5 linked regions of the Sus scrofa genome follow. The main gene of each other region encodes a partner of the protein of the gene in region 5 in a complex. Links are inferred from orthologs where the notes say so. Each region holds a gene or a part of one and is shown on either strand. Other genes may lie near its edges. The genes, in order: DYDC1, DNAJB13, NME5, ROPN1L and LRRC23.

Region 1 (3,672 bases), on a different chromosome or scaffold from region 5:
TTTCAACACAGCAACTTTGCCCAATGATTGTTCAAGAAGAAATGCTGCTTCTCTGTACCCAGGTACGTTCCATCCCTCCCCATCACAGTCCCATCAATAAGCATGGATTAAGTGGTACTCTAGAGCATCGCTTCCCAGCAAACTGGGGAAATCTTTGAAGTGTTCTCATAGGAGGAAACACCATATCTAAAGCATGTTGAATATTCCTGAGCACTACATCGTGGCAGCCTCTTTCACTTCTCACAGACCAGTAACTTCCATCTTAGGCAATCTGTTCTCACACAGATACTCACATTCTTTTCAGCTTGTCTCCCACTGCCCCTTTTAGTTGCTCTCTCCCGACCTCTCAATGGAATCATACAGTAACTAGTGACATTGAGAAATCCAAAACAATATTTTAAGACCACCCTTGAAGCCCATTTACAAAGCTGTCTTCAGAGGGGAAAAAAGTAGAATTCAAGTTTGGGGGTGGAATATGTTTGGGGACCTCACACTTTGAAATTTGAAACAAGAAAAATTTATTGTTCTTAGGTTGGTTGATTCTACAAATCTTGATCAATGTTTAATGCAACCTAAAAACAAAATAAAAAGTAAATATGCTTTAATACAATTAGAACTGTGAAAATATACAAGTCACAGAAAATTAGAGCTTAGGTAATTTCTATGTGACTATGTAAATCAAGTTTTTTGATAGTTTCAGATTATTTCAAGTAAAATGCAAATTCAATATAACAATAATGTAATTGTGTTCTCAGTGTATTTATTAACCCATCCTTTCTTCTACTTCTCTTGCTATTTTCTCTTACTGTTATCTATATCCTTCTTATAGGGGTCCCATACCCACCCCTTAAATGTTGAAATTTCTCAGGGTTTCACCCTGAGCCCCCTCCTTCACATCTGCATGCACTCCTAGGTACTTTACTCACACTCCCAGCTGCACTAAGCCTATATGCCAATGACCGCTGAACTCCTATCTCCTGCTGGACCTCCCTCCTGTCCTTCAGATCCACATTGTACTTCAACTGGTCTTTGGCCATTTTTACCTGCATACCTCAGAGTGACCTGAAATTCAACATGTCCACAACTGAAGCCATCATTTTCACAAAACCTACTTTCTCTTCATATGTTCCTCAATTCAACCAATGAGAAAGCTCAAAAAAATGGTGAAGCATCCAGGCTGTCCAAGGGAGAAATCTGGGCTTCATCTTTGATTTCTTTCTCTCCTTTATCCTCTCGACCAATATCAAATCCACTCAGCTGTCCCTATCTCTGCTGTCTGCACCTTGGTCCTAGCCCTGATCACCTTGCATGTGGCTGCCTCTAATAACCTCCTAGGTGGTCTCCTGCTTCCACGCCTACCCATTCAAATCCTCGCTCCACTTTCTAAAAACACATATCTAATCCTCACATACATCTTTCGATGACTCCCACGGCACTCAAGTCCCAAATCCCTAACACGACTCACAGAGCTCAGTGTGATCAGTGTGATCTCCACCCACATCTCCAGCTTCAAATCACACCATTCTACTGGCTCCATGCAACTCAGCCATAATAGACTACTCCAGTTCTTTGAAAGCATCTCGCCCTTTCCATCTGCAGGGCTTATCTCAGGCTAGTTTCTTAAATGACACTTCCTGGAGGAGACTCACGTGGGCTAATTTCCCTGCTCTGTCCCCTGAGAGCACATTTTGGGCTTGCCCATGGACCCCAAAGAGCAGGAACTCAATATGTTTTGTTCACTGGCATTGTCTAGCTCCCTGCACAGTACTGAAACATGGCAGCCATTTAATAAGAATGTAACCACAGACTGATTGGCACCAAATCCTTCCAGCTCTACTTTCTGAACAGCTCTTGAAAACACCCTTTACTACTCCAGGCCATCAATGCCATCTCTCTCCAGATTACAAGAACCTCCTAGTGGGTCTCTGCAAATCTATCATTTCAGTCTTTTCCACATCCTGTGGCCAGATGGCCTTCCTCAAATGCAGCTTTGATCATGTTAGCCTCCATTGTCCCCAGGATAAAATATAAACTTCTGAGCCCACCTTACACATGCTCTCCTGGTCTGGCCCCTGCCTTCCCCACTGCCTCAGCTCCAATCTCTCTCTGCCTCCTACTCTCTCTATTCTCCCTGAGCTGGGTCTTCACACTCTGTGCTTTCAGCCTCCCACCAAGGGACAAGTGGATTTCCTTCAGGAAGCCTTTCCTGACCAAGAGTCTTCAACCGGGCAGTTGTCCCACCTTGTCAGTGCTCACTGACGAAGGTGACTCAATGAATCCCTCTGTCAGGCCAGTCCTGGTTTACATCCAGCTGACTTGGCTCAATTACCAACAGCTCTGCCCTTTGTTCTCAAAGCATACTGGTTTGGGCAATAAATTACCTGGTCACTCTTTTTTTGGGGGGGGGGCTGTGCCACCAGCATGTAGCAGTTCCTGGGTGGAATCAAACATGTGTCACAGCAGCAACCCAAGCGGCTGCAATGACATCACTAAATCCTTAACCCACTGCACCACAAGGAAACTCCTAATAATGACTATTAATTGCTTATCCAATTGTCTCTCCCCTAGACAAGGTCAAAAATGACCTGTTTTACTCATAACAGCATCAAGCACCATGTGTGGCACAATAGCAAACATTACATGTTTATTAAATAGCAGATGTGCTTATATACTATAAAAGCATGCACTCTCATTAAGATATTTATTTGGCTCCATGTTTTGGGTCAGTGTTGGCCCCCAAATTTTAATTTAAAGGTTATGTATTTCACCACATGCTTTTAAATACCTATTCTGAAGAGATTTTGAAATTTTCAAAGCCTCACTCTAAACATACATATCACGCTCTGCATAGGAGGGCACACTGCTACCTTAACACCAACTCCCAGCTGCTTCCCACTCAGGGCCCACACATTTGTGTGGAGCCAGACATGTGCCTGCCTGCACCCTCAGAGCCAGTAACACGCAGCACGAAAGGGCAGAAGGCCAATTAGGGATATGCTGGCATCCAGAAAACTGGTTTTCCTTCTATGAAGCAAAAGGCCCATCTGCCATCCAACCCCAGCCTCATATGCACTAGGCCTTCCTAAAGTTAAAAAAAAAAAAAAAATTCTGCTTTTCACAAAACAATTTCCTAAGGATACTTACATCAGATAGCATTGGTTCATCAAGTTCTTCCACTCTGCTCAAGTTAGGTGCCCCGTAACGATCACTGATTTCAGCCAGTGTTTTGCCTGAGTCGGCTCTGTCCTACAATCAGAGAGTTCATTTTCACTTTCAAATACATTAATACATTAATTTCCTTTCAGTTTTGATGAGACATTTCTGAATTATACCATCAAAATTCAACACTGTCAATTAATAGAATGAACACTAATACCTGTTAATGACGAGAATTCTTAAGAATAAATGCTAGGAGTTCCCGTCGTGGCGCAGTGGTTAACGAATCCGACGAGGAACCATGAGGTTGCGGGTTGGGTCCCTGCCCTTGCTCAGTGGGTAACGATCCGGCGTTGCCGTGAGCTGTGGTGTAGGTTGCAGATGCGGCTCGGATCCAGCGTTGCTGTGGCTCTGGCGTAGGCCGGCGGCTACAGCTCCGATTCGACCCCTAGCCTGAGAACCTCCATATGCCGAGGGAGCAGCCCAAGAAATAGCAAAAAAATAAAAATAAAAAAA
Region 2 (3,515 bases), on a different chromosome or scaffold from region 5:
ACTGGTGTTAGGACTCGCTTCTCCTTCCTGCTCTGGTGCCCGTGCCCTGGGCAGGTCCCTGCCTTCTCTGGGCCTCGGTTGCCCACTCGGTCCTGGGGGATGTCCTGTGAGGCTCAGTCCCTCGGGAGGGACATGAGGGGTCGGCTCGCCCACTCTGCAGACCGGCCTCCCTGCCGGACCAAGAACACGCACTGCCTCCTCCCGCCTCGGTCCTCCCACCACGCGGACCCGGGGGACTGGCCCCAGGGAGCAGCCCTCCCCTCACCTGGTCCCCTTCCTTCTCAAAGGTGATTCGGGTGCCCTGCCTCCACCCAGGCTTCACGTCAATGGTGAGGATCTTGTCCTTGATGGTAGAGGAGAACCCGTCCTCGTTCAGCACCTGCGGCGAGACGACGGGACGGAGGTTTGCCAGGTGGCCTCTAGCAATGGGGAGAAGCTGCCAGAGCCACCCCACGCCCGTTCCACTGAAACCAGGAACTTAGGCCAGGAGGGCCAGGGCATGACATGGGGCTCGGGTCCGAGGTGCCAAGTGTCACCGTGAGTTGACCAAGGACCCACTCCAGTCCTAGAAACTCACGGCTGTGGCCACTGACAGATACACAGGGAACACACACCCACCTCCTCTCCCACCCCCGCGGCTTCTGCCCGAGCCTCCAGCAGGGCTCTTAATTCCCAAGGGAGAAAGACCACAGAGCCTCACCCACAGCACTCCTCTGTATGTCACCTGTCACCCACCCCCCAATCACAGGCCCACATGGGGGCCATCTGTGCAAGGCATGGCTACAACTGGCATCTCCTTTGCCGGGCAAAGGTTGGAGGGGGCCGTGCTCATGTGGACCATGGCACGGGGCTAGCACAGGGCTGGACCCTGAGGCATTGAGGGTCTTCTCCAAGTCCCCTTAGGGACTGTCCCCCAGCCTCCCCCTCCCATGCCCACAGGGCACCTTCTTACTCAGGAGGCACACACCCAGGAACCCACAGGGTATGGGCTGGTAACGCCCAGAAGGCAGAAATCACAGGAGACTCCCAGTTTCCTCAGGGATGGGGCTGAACTGAGAAGTTGGGGGCATGCAGGGGGACTCCTGAACTCAGAAAGAACCCCAGCTAATACCCCCGACTGTCCCTTCCAAAGGTCAGATTTTAGAATTCCACCATCCTAGGTCCCCAAATCTAAGATGCCATGATCCCGAGAGAGGCCATACCCGAGGTCTCCGGTTCGGGTCAGAGCGGTTAGGAGGAGGCTCGCGGTACTCACCCTTCGGGAGATCTTAATTTTCTTGGTGCAGCCGAAGAACAAGTCCTCCAGAGACAAGTAGAGGTCTCGCTCGATGGGGGGGTCCTGTTTCTTGACCCCGCGGCCCCGGAGCCCCCCAAAGTTAAGATCCACCTCATTTCCTTCTGCATCAAAAAACTCTGCAGAAGGTGGGGAGACGCACGGAGTAAGAGAAACTGTGTCCAGAAACTCATGTTCACGGACAATCCCGCACCGTTTCAGTCCCCGAGTGTAATACCCAGCCTCCCGTTCCCGCCTCACAGGCTCCAGCCCGTTTGTCCGAGGAGCTGTCCTCATAATTACAAGTTAAGCACTAAAGGGATGTTGCCTATAAGCGTAAATTATACATAATGGCCCATCTCTGGGAACCCTGCCTCCCAGGTATTCTGCATCAGCTAAAATACCTTGGTTTAGCTCACAGGAAGCATCCCCACCAGGCCCACCTGGGAATGGTTGCAGGCAAGAAGAAATTACCACATCCCTCTGGAGGCAGACTGGAACCAGGAAATGTTTGACTCCCTCTCCTTCAATTTTTAAAAAATTTTACGAGTTCCCATTGTTAACGAATCTGACTAGGAATCTGACTAGGAACCATGAGGTTGCGGGTTTGATCCCTGGCCTTGCTCAGTGGCTTAAGGATCCGGCGTTGCTGTGGGCTGTGGTCGCAGAAGCAGCTCATATCTGGCATGGCTGTGGCTGTGGTGTAGAACAGCGGCTATAGTTCTGATGGGACCCCTAGCCTGGGAACCTCAATATGCCATGGGTATGGCCCTAGAAAAGACAAAAAAAAAAAAAAAAAAAAAAAAAATTGGGAGTTCCCGTTGTGGCACAGCAGAAACAAATCTGACTAGTATCCATGAAGATGTGGGTGTGATCCCTGGCCTCACTTAGTGGGTTAAGGATCCAGCATTGCCATGAGCTGTGGTATAGGTCACAGACTTGGCTCGGATTCTGCATTGCTATGGCTGCGGCGTAGGCCAGCAGTTACAGCTCCAATTTGACCCCTAGCCTGGAAACTTCCATATGCCACAGGCGCAGCCCTAAAAAAGCAAAAAAAGCAAAAAAAAAATTTTAATTTTTGGCCATGCCCGCAGCATGTGGAAGTTCCCAGGCCAGGGATAGAACCCACCACTGCCATAGCAGCAACCTGAGCAGCTGCAGTGACAACACCGGATCCTTAACCTGCTGAGACCCAGGAGAACACCCACTCCCTCTCCTTTTAGTATAAAAGAAGTCTGAATTCTCAGATAAGATGGTCCTTTGCGGAGTTCCCATCGCGGCTCAGTGGAAACAAATCTGACTAGGAACCATGAGGCTGAAGGTTTGATCCCTGGCCTCGCTCAGTGGGTCAAGGATCTGGTGTTGGTGGCAGACACAGCTTGGAGCCCGAGTTCCTGTGGCTGTGGTGTAGGCCAGCAGCTGTAGCTCCGATTAGACCCCTAGCCTGGAAACCTCCATATGCCGCGGGTGAGGCCCTGAGAAGCAAAAAATATATATATACGGTCCTTTGGGAACCGTCTTCTTGGCTTCTTGAATAGAGTTACTATCCTTTGCTCCAACAGCTCGTCTCTGGATTTACTGGCCTGCCGTGCTGCCAGCAGGAGGGTAGGCTTGGTACCATCCTCAGCTGAAGACCCGGTGGTCACCACCCCTTGCCGCTCTCCCTGCCTCGGCCCGACTTTGGCCGCCCTTCATCCTCACTTCGCAGTCTCCCTCCGCCCTCAGCTCCAGGGAAGTGCTCCCCAGGAGAGAGAGCAGTGCCCTCTGGTGGCAGGGCCTGGAGGTGCTATTACTTTCGCGGAGGGGGCTGGAGCAAGGCCAGACCTCCCAGCCCTTCCCCAGGCTCCGCCCCAGCCCAGCCCAAGACGAGAGACCTCAGACTCGAGTTTCTATGAAGTCAGTGGCTGAGATGGTGGCGAGGCCACCACCATGTCCGCAAACTCCTGCCTCGATTCCTTCTGCTCCTGCCCAGCCCTACAGCCAAAACACCTTTGGCAGCCCCACCTCCATCCTCACACAGAGAGCCTGTGCCCTTCCCCGGCAGTGCAGGTGTCCCGGCTCCAGTCTCTCGTCTGTGGGAAGGAGCAACACACCTGACCCGCCTTCCAGGTTCGGGTCAGATAACAAGACGATAAGGAACTACAGCTGAGAGCTTGCTGGCGTCAGGTGCCCTTTTTAGCCCTTTGGACTATTATTTGGTCAGCCCAGAGAGGTCAAATAAAACACAGTCCACAACTAGTAA
Region 3 (3,515 bases), on a different chromosome or scaffold from region 5:
GGATCCAACCTGCGCTGCCGCAGAGACAACACTAGATCCTTAATGGGCTATGCCACAGAGAACTCAACTTAATTTTTGGATTATTTCTATCTTGTCTATTTTTGTCAGCCATTTATTATTTGTTTCTAGCAACTAAGGCTGAATGAATTGAGAACCTAAAGAGTGTTTTCATGTTTCTTATATAAACTTTCACTGCACTTTTTAAAGCTTTTTCATGACATAATTTATACACTGCATTTATATTTATTTTTATACCTTTACAGACTTTTAAAATATGATCATCTTGAGAGAGCATGAATATCTTATTCATTTTTGTATTTCTGGCATGTGGTAGGTAACTCAATACATTTGTTGAATGAATAGAACATAGCAAAGCTTTGAATCAGCCATCCCTATTAAAAGGGAAGGAAAGAACACTAGCTTTTTCAAGGATTATAAGTATGTCTTTGATTATCTTTTTTTTTTTTTTGTCTTTTTTGTCTTTTTGTCTTTTGTTGTTGTTGTTGTTGCTATTTCCTGGGCCGCTCCGGCGGCATATGGAGGTTCCCAGGCTAGGGGTTGAATCGGAGCTGTAGCCACCGGCCTACGCCAGAGCCACTGCAACGCAGGATCCGAGCCGCGTCTGCAACCTACACCACAGCTCACGGCAACGCCGGATCGTTAACCCACTGAGCAAGGGCAGGGACCGAACCCGCAACCTCATGGTTCCTAGTCGGATTCGTTAACCACTGCGCCACGACGGGAACTCCTGTCTTTGATTATCTTAATAACTTGCTTTAGCAAATCATCATATAGGGTTTTGCATGTAGTTCTTGACTGACTGCTAAGCCAGAAAGCTCATATCACAAACTTTGAGAACTTACTTCGAAGTCTATATTCCCACAGCAAAAGATCTGCAATCAGAGTTCCCGTCGTGGCTCAGTGGTTAATGAATCCGACTAGGAACCATGAGGTTTCGGGTTTGATCCCTAGCCTTGCTCAGTGGGTTAAGGATCCAGCATTGCCATGAGCTGTGGTGTAGGTCGCAGAGGCGGCTCGGATCTTGAGTTGCTGTAGCTCTGGCGCAGGTCAGCGGCTATAGCTCCAATTAGACCCCTAGCCTGGGAACCTCCATAGGCCACGGAAGTGGCCATAGAAAAGGCAAAAAGACACAAAGACACACACACACACACACACACACACACACACACACAAGATCTGCAATCATTTTTTATCCTACAACTGCTGCTTCTCAAATAGCTACCTAGAGGATTAATTAATAGGTAAAATCAAAGGCAATCTAAAATAACTGTTTAGGGATATAACCCTATGAGCAAGAAGAGCTTCCAAATGTATCTTCTACTTAAAAGTGAGTTTGAACGTTATTTTAGTTAAAAGCTAAAGAGGAGAAGTCTAAATTCACCAGTAGGACTAAATCTAAAAATCTACCACATTAAAAAGACATCTCAGATTTCCCATCATGGCGCAGCGGAAACAAATCTGGCTAGGAACCATGAGGTGTCGGTTCGATCCCTGGCCTCGCTCAGTGGGTTAAGGATCTGGCATTGCCATGAGCTGTGATGTGGGTTGCAGATGCGGCTTGGATCTAGTGTTGCTGTGGCTGTGCCTGGGGCCAGCAGCAACAGCTCCAATTAGACCCCTAGCCTGGGAACCTCCATATGCTGTGGGTGTGGCCCTAAAAAGACAAAAAAAAGACAAAATAAATTAAATATTATAAAAAAAAAAATCTCAAGTTTAAGATGTGGTTCAATATAAATGGAAACAGGAGAAGTAGAAGCAAGGGTTATAAATGAAGTAAGACTGACCTAAATCAACTATACTTCAATTTTTAAAAAAAGACTGATCAAATATCATTGAAGCTGAGTGATGGGCTCATTAGGGATTTATTATTCTATTCTGTCTACTTTTGTGTAAATATTCCACAATAAACATTTGCAAAGAAAATTATATCTTAGTGGAATGTATAAGACAGAAATTAGATCAATAAGAATAAAGTATATAGTAGGCAAATCCTTTTGCGTACAAATTTTTTTTATGGCTGTGCCTGCGACATGCAGAACTTCCTAGGCCAGGGATCGAACCCACACCACAGCACTGACAATGCAGAATCTTTAACTGTGAGGCCACCAAGGAACATCTACAAAAAAATCTTTAAAAGAGTTTTTGTTTGTTCAAAAATCAGTACTTTTAAATAGCCAAGATAATTTTCAGTTTTTTGTTTTTTTGTTTTTGTTTTTGTTTTTTTTGTCTTTTGTCTTTTTTGTTGTTGTTGTTGCTATTTCTTGGGCCGCTCCCGCGGCATATGGAGGTTCCCAGGCTAGGGGTTGAATCGGAGCTGTAGCCACCGGCCTACGCCAGAGCCACAGCAACGCGGGATCCGAGCCGCGTCTGCGACCTACACCACAGCTCACGGCAACGCCGGATCGTTAACCCACTGAGCAAGGGCAGGGACAGAACCCACAACCTCATGGTTCCTAGTCGGATTCGTTAACCACTGCGCCACGACGGGAACTCCAATTTTCAGTTTTCTTTGAATAAATCTTTACCAGAAAATACTGCGGCAGAGATCTAAATTACTAAGAGGGAAAAAAATGCAAAAAAATTCAAAGTTGCCCAACACTTTGAATTTTTCTCTTTATAATAAAAAAAATCACCAAATTCTTTCTGCTCTAACAATATTATTCAAAACAAACTGAAAACCTCATTACGATACCCACTTCTAAAAGGTTAACAGCTTCCATAACAGGATGGAAACAAAAAAGGGGCCTAAGAACTACTAATTTCATAAATGCATGAGTCTTGTTAAACAGCAAACTGTTAAAGAAAATGGCAAGTCAACCAAAATTTCCAAAGAAGATTCTTTTCATGTGTAAAAAACTTGGCTAATACATTTAGGGATAACTAAAAGGAATTACAATACAGAAGAAAAACCCCAGATATGTTCAGTCCAAGAGAAAAGAAAAGAAAAAAAGTTAACCCTTCTCAAAAGATTCTAGAGGACACAATTTAGTTCTGAGAAAAATGCTGAGTTCTCTATTCTTGGCTTAAGCTGTTAAGTAATTACAACTTGAAAACATGACAATATATTGGAGAAAAATCCTGTTATCTTCCCTCCCAGCTATGTCTCCAAAATAAAAGAAAAAGTAAACCATAGGTAGATGCAATGAACTAATTATGTAACTCACCTGCCGGAAACATAAATCGAATTTCTCTTTCTGCTGCAGCAAAATCATTACTCCCATGAAGTGCATTCCTTAGCTCGTCTGTGCCATAAATTGCCCTTAGACTAAAAGCAAGTTAAGAGATGATGACCATTTAATCTGCTGTTTTTTCCTTACTTGTTATATTAGGAATTTTACAAAAGCATCACCACTTCTCACATAAGGGGTTTTAATCTATTTTGAATTTAAACATAAATCTATCTAGACGAGGGTCAAATATATTTAAATCTACAGGAGAAATATACTTGGAAGAATAGTTCTCTAGGTGAAAAAGAGGTATTGTTTTGTGAGAAG
Region 4 (4,206 bases), on a different chromosome or scaffold from region 5:
AATGCCAGATCCTTATCCCACTGAGCAAGCTCAAAGATTAAACCAGCATCCTTGGAGTTCCCGTTGTGGCTAAGTGGGTTACAAACCCAACTAATATCCATGAGGATACCGCAGGTTTGGCCCTGAAAAAGCAAAAGAAAGAAAGAAAGAAAGAAAGAAAGAAAGAAAGAAAGAAAGAAAGAAAGAAAGAAAGAAAGAAAGAAACGCATCCTCACGGATGCTAGTCAGGTTCATAACCCACTGAGCCACAATGGGAACTCCTATTTGGGGTTCTTTAAACCAGAGAAAGGCCACTGAATACAAGATTCCTTCTTTGAATAAACTTGGAGGTTTCCCAAAGGGAAGCAGGGCTTGTATGGATGATGGGGAGGTTTCTGCCAAGCTTTATCTCAAGTTCATCTGACTGATGACAAAGACAATCTTATACCTGCTTGTGCAAAACTTTAAGGAGTCCTTGAGTCAGGCCTGTGTCTGTTTTCTGAGTGGCCATGGGCATTTCAATTCTGTCCTTTACAGGAAGTGGATCTCCTCTTGACAAAGCTGAAAAATACCTGACAACGACATGCATTGCTGAAGGCTCATCTGTGCATCCAGCTGACTTCATGCACTTTCATCAGTGACCTCAGAGGGAGACAGTGATGACGGAGGACTGTGCTAGGTCCCTGGCCCAGCCCCTCTACTCAACTGACTTAACATTCTCCACATGCCTCAGTTTCTCTGTCTGCAGAGTGGGGAGAATGGTGGCCCCTGTCTCAAGGCCCCCATCTGCACTCCTGGGGGTCTCACGACACATGCTAATCTCATCAAGTAGATGCCACTAGAGGTCCTGAGATGTTGCTAGAGGAGGTGGAGGTCAGGGCCCCATGTGACCCAAGTGCAAGGGCATGGTCCAGTAGTATCATTTTGACAGCTGGGGACTTGGCCCTGCTTCTCGAGGGGCTTGATTTCAAGCATCTCTGCCTATTCGGGTCTCAGGCACTCAGAACAGGGAAGTCACCTGTTTGGCCAACTCAGGGCCAACCTCCCCTACTCTTCACCTTTCCTGCCTGGTATTTTTTTTTTTTCTTCAGTATTTTCCCACTCAATCATTCCTTTCTGGGACATGGATATTGGTGCTAATACTAGGAAGAAGCTGGGACACAGAGAGAGTCTGGGGCAACAAGACAGGAGGGGGACAGGACCCCGGGGGTCTGGCTGGAGGGTGAGGGGTGCCAGGCAGGGTCTTCTGGAAGCTCACTCTCTGTGGGTGCATGCAGCTGAGAATGGCTGCTGAAGCCACATCATTTGCTGCCCTCACAACCTTACCACTGTCAGAGAAATGCCATATCCAGGAAAATAAGGCACTAAATCATCCAGGGCTACCAGTAATAATTTCAAAGATACAAGTAGTTAGAAAACATCTCTGAACATGTAACAAAATGTAGATCAATAGATATTTGATGGACTAAAAGAAATTTTATATCTCATCCCCTTTTTCTCTCTCCACCCCCTCAAATTCAACTTTCACGCTCTTAGGACAAGTTCAGACATATTTTGTTAACTTAATGTCTGTTCCTAGAAGCAGAATGTTTGTTGCAATAAACTGTGACGCTCATATGCTTGAACTAAGCTGGGCAAAGTTTAACTTTACAGCAGCCTTGGGATGGTTACTTGACATAAACTAGTCTTTCTGGTTCCAATAACCTCAAAAGGTACTCAATCCTGGAGGATTTTCTGAAGACAAAGAATATAACCATAAGATTCTTCCTTGTAAAAATCATTTCACAAATAAAGGGACTGTGATAGTTCGAGTTTATAACACAAGGCAGAAACTTTTTACCCAATGTAACTGTTTTATAAATTTTAGTCTACTTGCATAAATATCACTCTCCAACAATAGAGCTGCCATTGCTTTGTAGATAAATGGGCATTTTGCAGTAATTTCTGGTCTCGTGGTCAATAAACCACGACGCTTCCTAGATAGATACTTAGGTGTAAATACCAAAACCACTGGTACCTACATTAGGTGTATGGTATCTACAATACTATATTAGGTGTAGATACCAATGCTAAAAAAGGTTTTGCCGGTACTCAGGGTACTGAGCATTGTCCAGGAAGGAGGACTCACTAGGCACGACTGGGCAAAGGGGACCAGGGGGCTCTCCAAGGTCCCAGTCCGGTGGAACTTACCCCGCGGACCACTGCAGCACGTCGGCGGGTTGGGTGCGGATCGCAGCCTTGGTGAACTGCTTCAGGATGTCTGGCAGTTCCGGGGGAATGTGGATCTGCTGTGCGCAGAACATGGTGTCGGGAAGCGGCATCGCTCTCCGCAGACCAGGACCAGGCTGGAAAGAATCAAGGTGTGCTGCGGAGGGAGAAAAGGCTGGTTGGCCAGCCCAGGACACTCGGAGAGACGCGACGGCCAGGGGACCCAGGGGCCGGGCCAGAGCACGGGGTCCAGGGTCCCCAGTTTGAAGCCTAGTGGAGGAAGAGGGTCTGGGGCGGGGCTGGGCGGGGTCCGGGATCTTGAACCAGGCCGGGGGTGGTGCGTTTAAACCAGGCCAGGGCAGGCTGCCCACCTTTCCTCGGGTTTGGAGGGGCCGGGGACCGGGGCTGGGCGGCAGTTTTGGGTTTGAGGGCAGGCCAAGAGGCTGGCTTCCTGAGGCGCCGGCAGCCGGCGAAGGCTCTTACCCGCTCCTCCGGTTCCTCGGAAAATGAGGGCCAACCGCTGGTTCTAGCGCAGACCCAGCAACTGGGCAGCAAGCCACCGCTATTGTTTCGCAGCGGTATCCAAGCAACCAAAACATGTGCGGGCTCCACCCCCTGGAGCCGCGCACGCGCACAAATGGTGGAGCAATGCGCTTGCGCAGTCTGGTTTCGCAGTCCTTTCCTTTACCTCGCTGTAGGAGCAGAACGTTTCACTTGAAAAGGACTTTTTTTTTTTTTTTCTTTTGATTAATTTAATTTTATTGGAGTAAAGTTGACTTACAATGGTGTATTAGTTTTAGGTGTATGGTAAAATGATACAGTCATGCATATAAATATATCCATTCTTTTTTCCCATATAGGTTCTTACAAACTACTGAGTAGATTTTCTTCTGCTACACAGCACGTTCTCGTTGCATCTCTTGTTTTTCTTAATTTTTTTTATTACTCAAATGAATTTATCACATCTGTAGTTGTATAATGATCATAAAAATCTGATTTCACAGGATTTCCATCCCACAGCCCAAGCACATCCCCCCACCCCCCAAACTGTCTCCTCCGGATACCATAAGTTTTTCAATGTCTGTGAGTCAGCATCTGTTGTGCAAAGAAATTCCGTCTGTCCTTTCTTCAGATTCCACATGTCAGTGAAAGCATTTGATGTTGGTGTCTCATTGTATGGCTGACTTCACTTAGCATGATAGTTTCTAGGTCCATCCATGTTGCTAAAAATGCTGATTTCGTTCTTTTTCATGGCTGAGTAATATTCCATTGTGTATATGTACCACATCTTCTGGATCCACTCCTCTGTCGATGGACATTTAGGTTGTTTCCATGTCTTGGCTATTGTAAATAGTGCTGCAGTGAACATCGGAGTACATGTGTCTTTGCGATAGATGTGTTTTGTGTTTTCTCTGGATAGATGCCCAGGAGTGGGATTGCTGGATCCAATGGGAGTTCTATGTTTAGTTTTCTGAGGAATCTCCATACTGCTTTCCACAGTGGTTGCACCAATTTACAATCCCACCAACCGTGTAAGAGGGTTCCTTATTCTCCACCCCCTCTCCAGCACTTCTTGTTTGTAGACTTTTGGATGATGGCCATTCTGGCTGGTGTAAGGTGGTACCTCAGAGTGGTTTTGATTTGCGTGTCTCTAATAATGAGTGATGTTGAACAACTTTTCATGTGTTTCTCAGCCATCCGTATGTCTTCTTTGGAGAACTGTCTGTTTAGATCTTCCGCCCATTTTTTGATGGGGTTATTTGTTTTTTTGGTATTGAGCTGCAGAAGGTGTTTATAAATTTTGGAGAGGAATCTCTGGTCAGTCGATTCATTTGCAAAGATTTTCTTCCATTCTGTGGGATGTCTTTTTGTGTTGTTTAGGGTTTCCATTGCTGTGCAGAAACTTTGAGGTTTTATTAGGTCCCATTTGTTTATTTTTCTTTTTATTGTCAATACTCCAAGAGGTGGATCTGATAATATGTTGCTGTTGTTTATGTGAGAGAGTGTTTGGCCTATGTT
Region 5 (3,838 bases):
GGGACGAGGGGCGGGGGCGCGGCGGCGAACGGAGGGGGCCGGAGGGGCTCGGGGCTCGGCGGGCTTCACCTCAGAGTTGCAGACCCAGCCTGTGGTGGTGGCGCTGGCGACGGCGGCGGTGATGGCACAGAGAGAGCGGGAGTGGCGGCGGCGGCTGCGGCTCCCGGGCGGCGGGCGGGGGGCGGACGGGGGGAGGCGCCAATAGGGCCGGGCGGGCGCATGTGACCCGGAGCCCCCGATGAGTCAGGAGCAGCCGGCGGAGGCGCACGTAGGAGCGCGGGTGGGGGACCGATGGGGGTGGGGGACCGATGGGGGTGGGGACCGATGGGGTGGGGTGGGGTGGGGAGGGCTGGAGGAGAGCGATGTTGGAGGGGCGGAGGGCTACCTGAGACCTGACCACCCTCCTACGCACACTCATACCCCCTGAAAAGTAATAGCCTCAGCCTCACGCCAACGCCAGTAATCAGCCAGTCAAGCCCATGACAGACTATCTCGCAAACCTCGTCAAACCCAAGAGTATCAAAACGCTCTTTATTGGAAAACCAAACTGTTCCTAATACCCCAGACTGCCACCTCCGCAGCTCCTCTGTAGCCAATTCTTCCAGCATCCTTTCAGCCCAAACGGGCCTGGCTCCCACCAGACCTGCCTGAGGGCTGCCACTTGCCTAGGCACCCCAGGGCCTAGGCAAAAGAAGCCATCACCTGTCTCATGAGGAGTGTACATGTGGCAGCCCCCCCAGCTGGGAATCTTCTCAGTCCTGGGACCAGCATCTTTAGTCTCCTGGAGGAAGAGGACAGGAGCCAAGCCTCAGGGCCCAACAGCACCCCCACTGCTGTCTTTGCCCCACCTGAAATGCCAGCTGCCACCGTTCCCTGGGCTCATCGTTTAGTCTCTCTGCCTCGCCCTGCCCTCCTTTCTCCCTTCTGCTTGGTATCCTGTTCTTTTTAGCTCCAGATCTTCCTCTCCTGCCTTCTTCCCTGGTCCAGCAGTCATCCTAACATACACTGCCCCCAGCTCTACCCCCACCAGGGCCCAGAGTTGGCATTCCCTGGCAGGCGTGGCTGCTGAGCCCACACCAACATTTCTGCCACCCCAGTTTTTTTCACTTACTCTTCAGGCCTCCTGATGTATCTCCCCAACCTTTCTCAGATTCTCCCAGGCCCTCTGGTTCTTTCTCCTCGCCCCGAGACACCCCTGACTCCTTACCCGGGTCTCCCCAAGACCTCTGCCTTCCTTACCCACCTCCTCCTACAGCAACTCCTCTTCCCCATCTGCTGGGCCCTTGGCCTCCTCCTCTTGCCTCCTTGTCCCCCACCACCCCCAACACCCTTAGAGACAAGAGGAACTACTAGATGGATGACTGGTCCAGTTCCGATTCAGCCTCGGGCTCAGCCTCCTGCTCCTGCTCCTCCTTCATCCTCTGCCGGATCTCATCGGCCTCAGCCCGCTCCTCCTCCTCATAGAAGTCCTTGTCCAGGCGCTCGAGGTGTGCCAACTGCACCAGGGCCTCCTGGCGGTAGTCACTCTCGTCTGCACACGGGTTGTCCAGCAGCACCAGGGCTCGCAGCTTGGGCAGGTCCTGCAGCTTGGCTAGCTCCCCCAGGTCGGTCACCATGTTGCCCCTGCAGGTGCAGTCGGGAGGGGTTCACCAGGGGAGATGGGGCTTTGGAGGCCAGCTGCCTTCCAGGAAAAGGGCCTGGGAGAAATCCCCCACGGGGCTCTGGTCTCTCTAGAAACATGGCCTCTGTGGACTGGCCCTCCAAGCATTGTCAGATTTGCCATGAGATGCTGTCCAGCCCTACTCCTGTCCTGCTTCTGCCCCTCAGGGACTCCCTAGGTGCCACAGTCTATTCTGTAATGTGCTGTGTTTATCCTTTTTGAGCAGTAAAGCTGGGTCTCAAACCTGGTTTTGTTTTGTTTGTTTGTTTTCTTTTTAAGGCTGCAGCATGTGGAAGTTCCCAGGCTAGAGGTGGAATTGGAGCTATAGCTTCTGGCCTACGCCACAGCCATGGCAACACAGGATCCGAACTGTGTCTGTAACTGACACCGCAGCTCACAGCAACGCCGGATCCTTAACCCACTGAGCAGGGCCAGGGATCAAACCTGTACCCTGAATGGAGTTCCCGTTGTGGCGCAGTGGTTAACGAATCCGACTAGAAACCATGAGGTTGCAGGTTCCAACCCTGGCCAACCCAGGTTCCAATCCTGGGTTAGGGATCCAGCGTTGCCGTGAGCTGTGGTGTAGGTCGCAGACTCGACTCGGATCCCACATTGCTGTGGCTCTGGCGTAGGCCAGCAGCTACAGCTACAGCTCCGCTTAGACCCCTAGCCTGGGAACCTCCATATGCCACAGGAAGCAGCCCTAGAAAAGACAAAAAAAAAAAAAAGGAAGAAGAAGAAGAAGCAGTTAGGACCCAAGCCAGTGGAGGAGGAGCTGGGCTCCAGGCTCATGGAGCGGGTACTACCTTGGTGCTCCCACAGGAAGGAGCCTAGAGCTAGGGGTGGGTCAGGGCCTCCCAGCCTGAAGAATAAGCTTCCTCCCCTAGAGTGTCTCCTTGTCCCCATGCTCATGGATGTTTATTTACATACTCTTGCTTTGTACCTTTGAAAATCAGGCTTAAAGACTTCAGCCTCATCTCAAAGGAGGTGCTGAACCTCTCCCAGTGTTTCTAACCAAAGTGCTACTCGCACTTCCCACTGGACTGTCCTACGTGTTGCAGGTCTTTGGCCCCAGAGGCACCTCCAAGTCACGGAGACAACCCCCTCCCCGTACATTTACTTCCAAACATCACCGGTTAATAGCTTCTGAGGAAGGTCCATTATCTCTGTCCAGACCATTAACCAGAAAACAGTACCCCCTCCACCCTCCCAGACCAGGAAGGCAGAGCTAATGAGCAAGAGATCATTCCATGGGTCAGGGCAGGAATTGGGGCTTCAAGATATAACCATGGCTCCCTACTGGAAGATCCTCTATCCATTGCCAGCCTCAAGGATTTGGCCTTGTTGACTAGGGAGGCCATTTCCTTACATCTTTGCTGTGAGAAACACATAACATGCTCCATCACACAAGAGTTGGTTAAAGAAAATCCCCCCTGGGAGTTCCCATTGTGGCTCAGTGGTAACGAACCCAACTAGTATCCATTAGGACCTGAGTTCAACCTCCGGCCTTGCTCAGTGGGTTAAGGATCCCGTGTTGCTCTGGCTCTGGCGTAGGCTGGCAGCTACAGCTCTGATTCGACCCCTAGCCTGGGAACCTCCATGTGCCACGGATGGGGCCCTAAAAAGAAAAAAAAAATGTGGCTCCCAGAAAAGGGTAGGGGTGAGGTGGGGCCTGGAGAGGATGCCTACCTTAGGTTGAGGTACTGCAGTGATTTCATTTCCTTGGAGAAGCCACTCAGAGTGTCAATCTGGTTGTCCCGAAGATGCAAGGTAGTGAGATTGCTTAGGTTCTCCAAACCTTCCACCTTCTTCAACATGTTCTGGGCCTAGACCCCCGTGGATACAGTAGATAGATTGCGAGATGGGAGAAGGGATGAGGAAGGAAGAGAAATCAGAAAGGGATGCAGCAAAAAAGCAAATATAAGAAAAGTAGGAGGGTGCAAGAGAAAGAGAGGTGGGTAGAAATCCATGCAGAATAAAGAATCCAGGGAGCTCCCATTGTGGCACATCAGAAACAAATCCGACTAGTATCCATGAGGATGTGGGTTTGATCCCTGGCCTTGTTCAGTGGGCCAGGGATCTGGCATTGCCATGAGCTGTGGTGTAGGTGGCAGATGTGGCTCAGATCTCACATTGCCGTGGCTGGGTGCAGGCTGGCAGCGTAGCTCCGATTCAACC

Evidence for each region.
Region 1: LRRC23 (region 5) and DYDC1 share a complex: the UniProt entries of both Homo sapiens proteins name them as parts of the axonemal radial spoke complex. The link is inferred for Sus scrofa from reciprocal best matches to the Homo sapiens genes LRRC23 and DYDC1.
Region 2: LRRC23 (region 5) and DNAJB13 share a complex: the UniProt entries of both Homo sapiens proteins name them as parts of the axonemal radial spoke complex. The link is inferred for Sus scrofa from reciprocal best matches to the Homo sapiens genes LRRC23 and DNAJB13.
Region 3: LRRC23 (region 5) and NME5 share a complex: the UniProt entries of both Homo sapiens proteins name them as parts of the axonemal radial spoke complex. The link is inferred for Sus scrofa from reciprocal best matches to the Homo sapiens genes LRRC23 and NME5.
Region 4: LRRC23 (region 5) and ROPN1L share a complex: the UniProt entries of both Homo sapiens proteins name them as parts of the axonemal radial spoke complex. The link is inferred for Sus scrofa from reciprocal best matches to the Homo sapiens genes LRRC23 and ROPN1L.

What each region holds. Positions count from the first base shown.
Region 1 is NC_010456.5:82,176,503-82,180,174, forward strand, and holds the end of DYDC1 (DPY30 domain-containing protein 1), read right to left. Parts: intron 3,247-3,672; coding exon 3,145-3,246; intron 573-3,144; coding exon 543-572; 3' UTR 502-542; downstream 1-501. UniProt on the Homo sapiens protein: Functions as part of axonemal radial spoke complexes that play an important part in the motility of sperm and cilia. Plays a crucial role during acrosome biogenesis.
Region 2 is NC_010451.4:8,348,697-8,352,211, reverse strand, and holds part of DNAJB13 (dnaJ homolog subfamily B member 13), read right to left. Parts: intron 1,414-3,515; coding exon 1,256-1,413; intron 380-1,255; coding exon 266-379; intron 1-265. UniProt on the Homo sapiens protein: Functions as part of axonemal radial spoke complexes that play an important part in the motility of sperm and cilia.
Region 3 is NC_010444.4:140,155,155-140,158,669, forward strand, and holds part of NME5 (nucleoside diphosphate kinase homolog 5), read right to left. Parts: intron 3,287-3,515; coding exon 3,186-3,286; intron 1-3,185. UniProt on the Homo sapiens protein: Functions as part of axonemal radial spoke complexes that play an important part in the motility of sperm and cilia. Does not seem to have nucleoside diphosphate kinase (NDPK) activity.
Region 4 is NC_010458.4:41,901-46,106, reverse strand, and holds the start of ROPN1L (ropporin-1-like protein), read right to left. Parts: upstream 2,809-4,206; 5' UTR 2,671-2,808; intron 2,345-2,670; 5' UTR 2,301-2,344; coding exon 2,170-2,300; intron 552-2,169; coding exon 428-551; intron 1-427. UniProt on the Homo sapiens protein: Functions as part of axonemal radial spoke complexes that play an important part in the motility of sperm and cilia. Important for male fertility.
Region 5 is NC_010447.5:63,808,794-63,812,631, forward strand, and holds the end of LRRC23 (leucine-rich repeat-containing protein 23), read right to left. Parts: intron 3,487-3,838; coding exon 3,350-3,486; intron 1,624-3,349; coding exon 1,351-1,623; intron 782-1,350; coding exon 781-781; 3' UTR 514-780; downstream 1-513. UniProt on the Homo sapiens protein: Essential for sperm motility and male fertility. Plays an important role in the proper assembly of the third radial spoke (RS3) head and the bridge structure between RS2 and RS3 in the sperm flagella.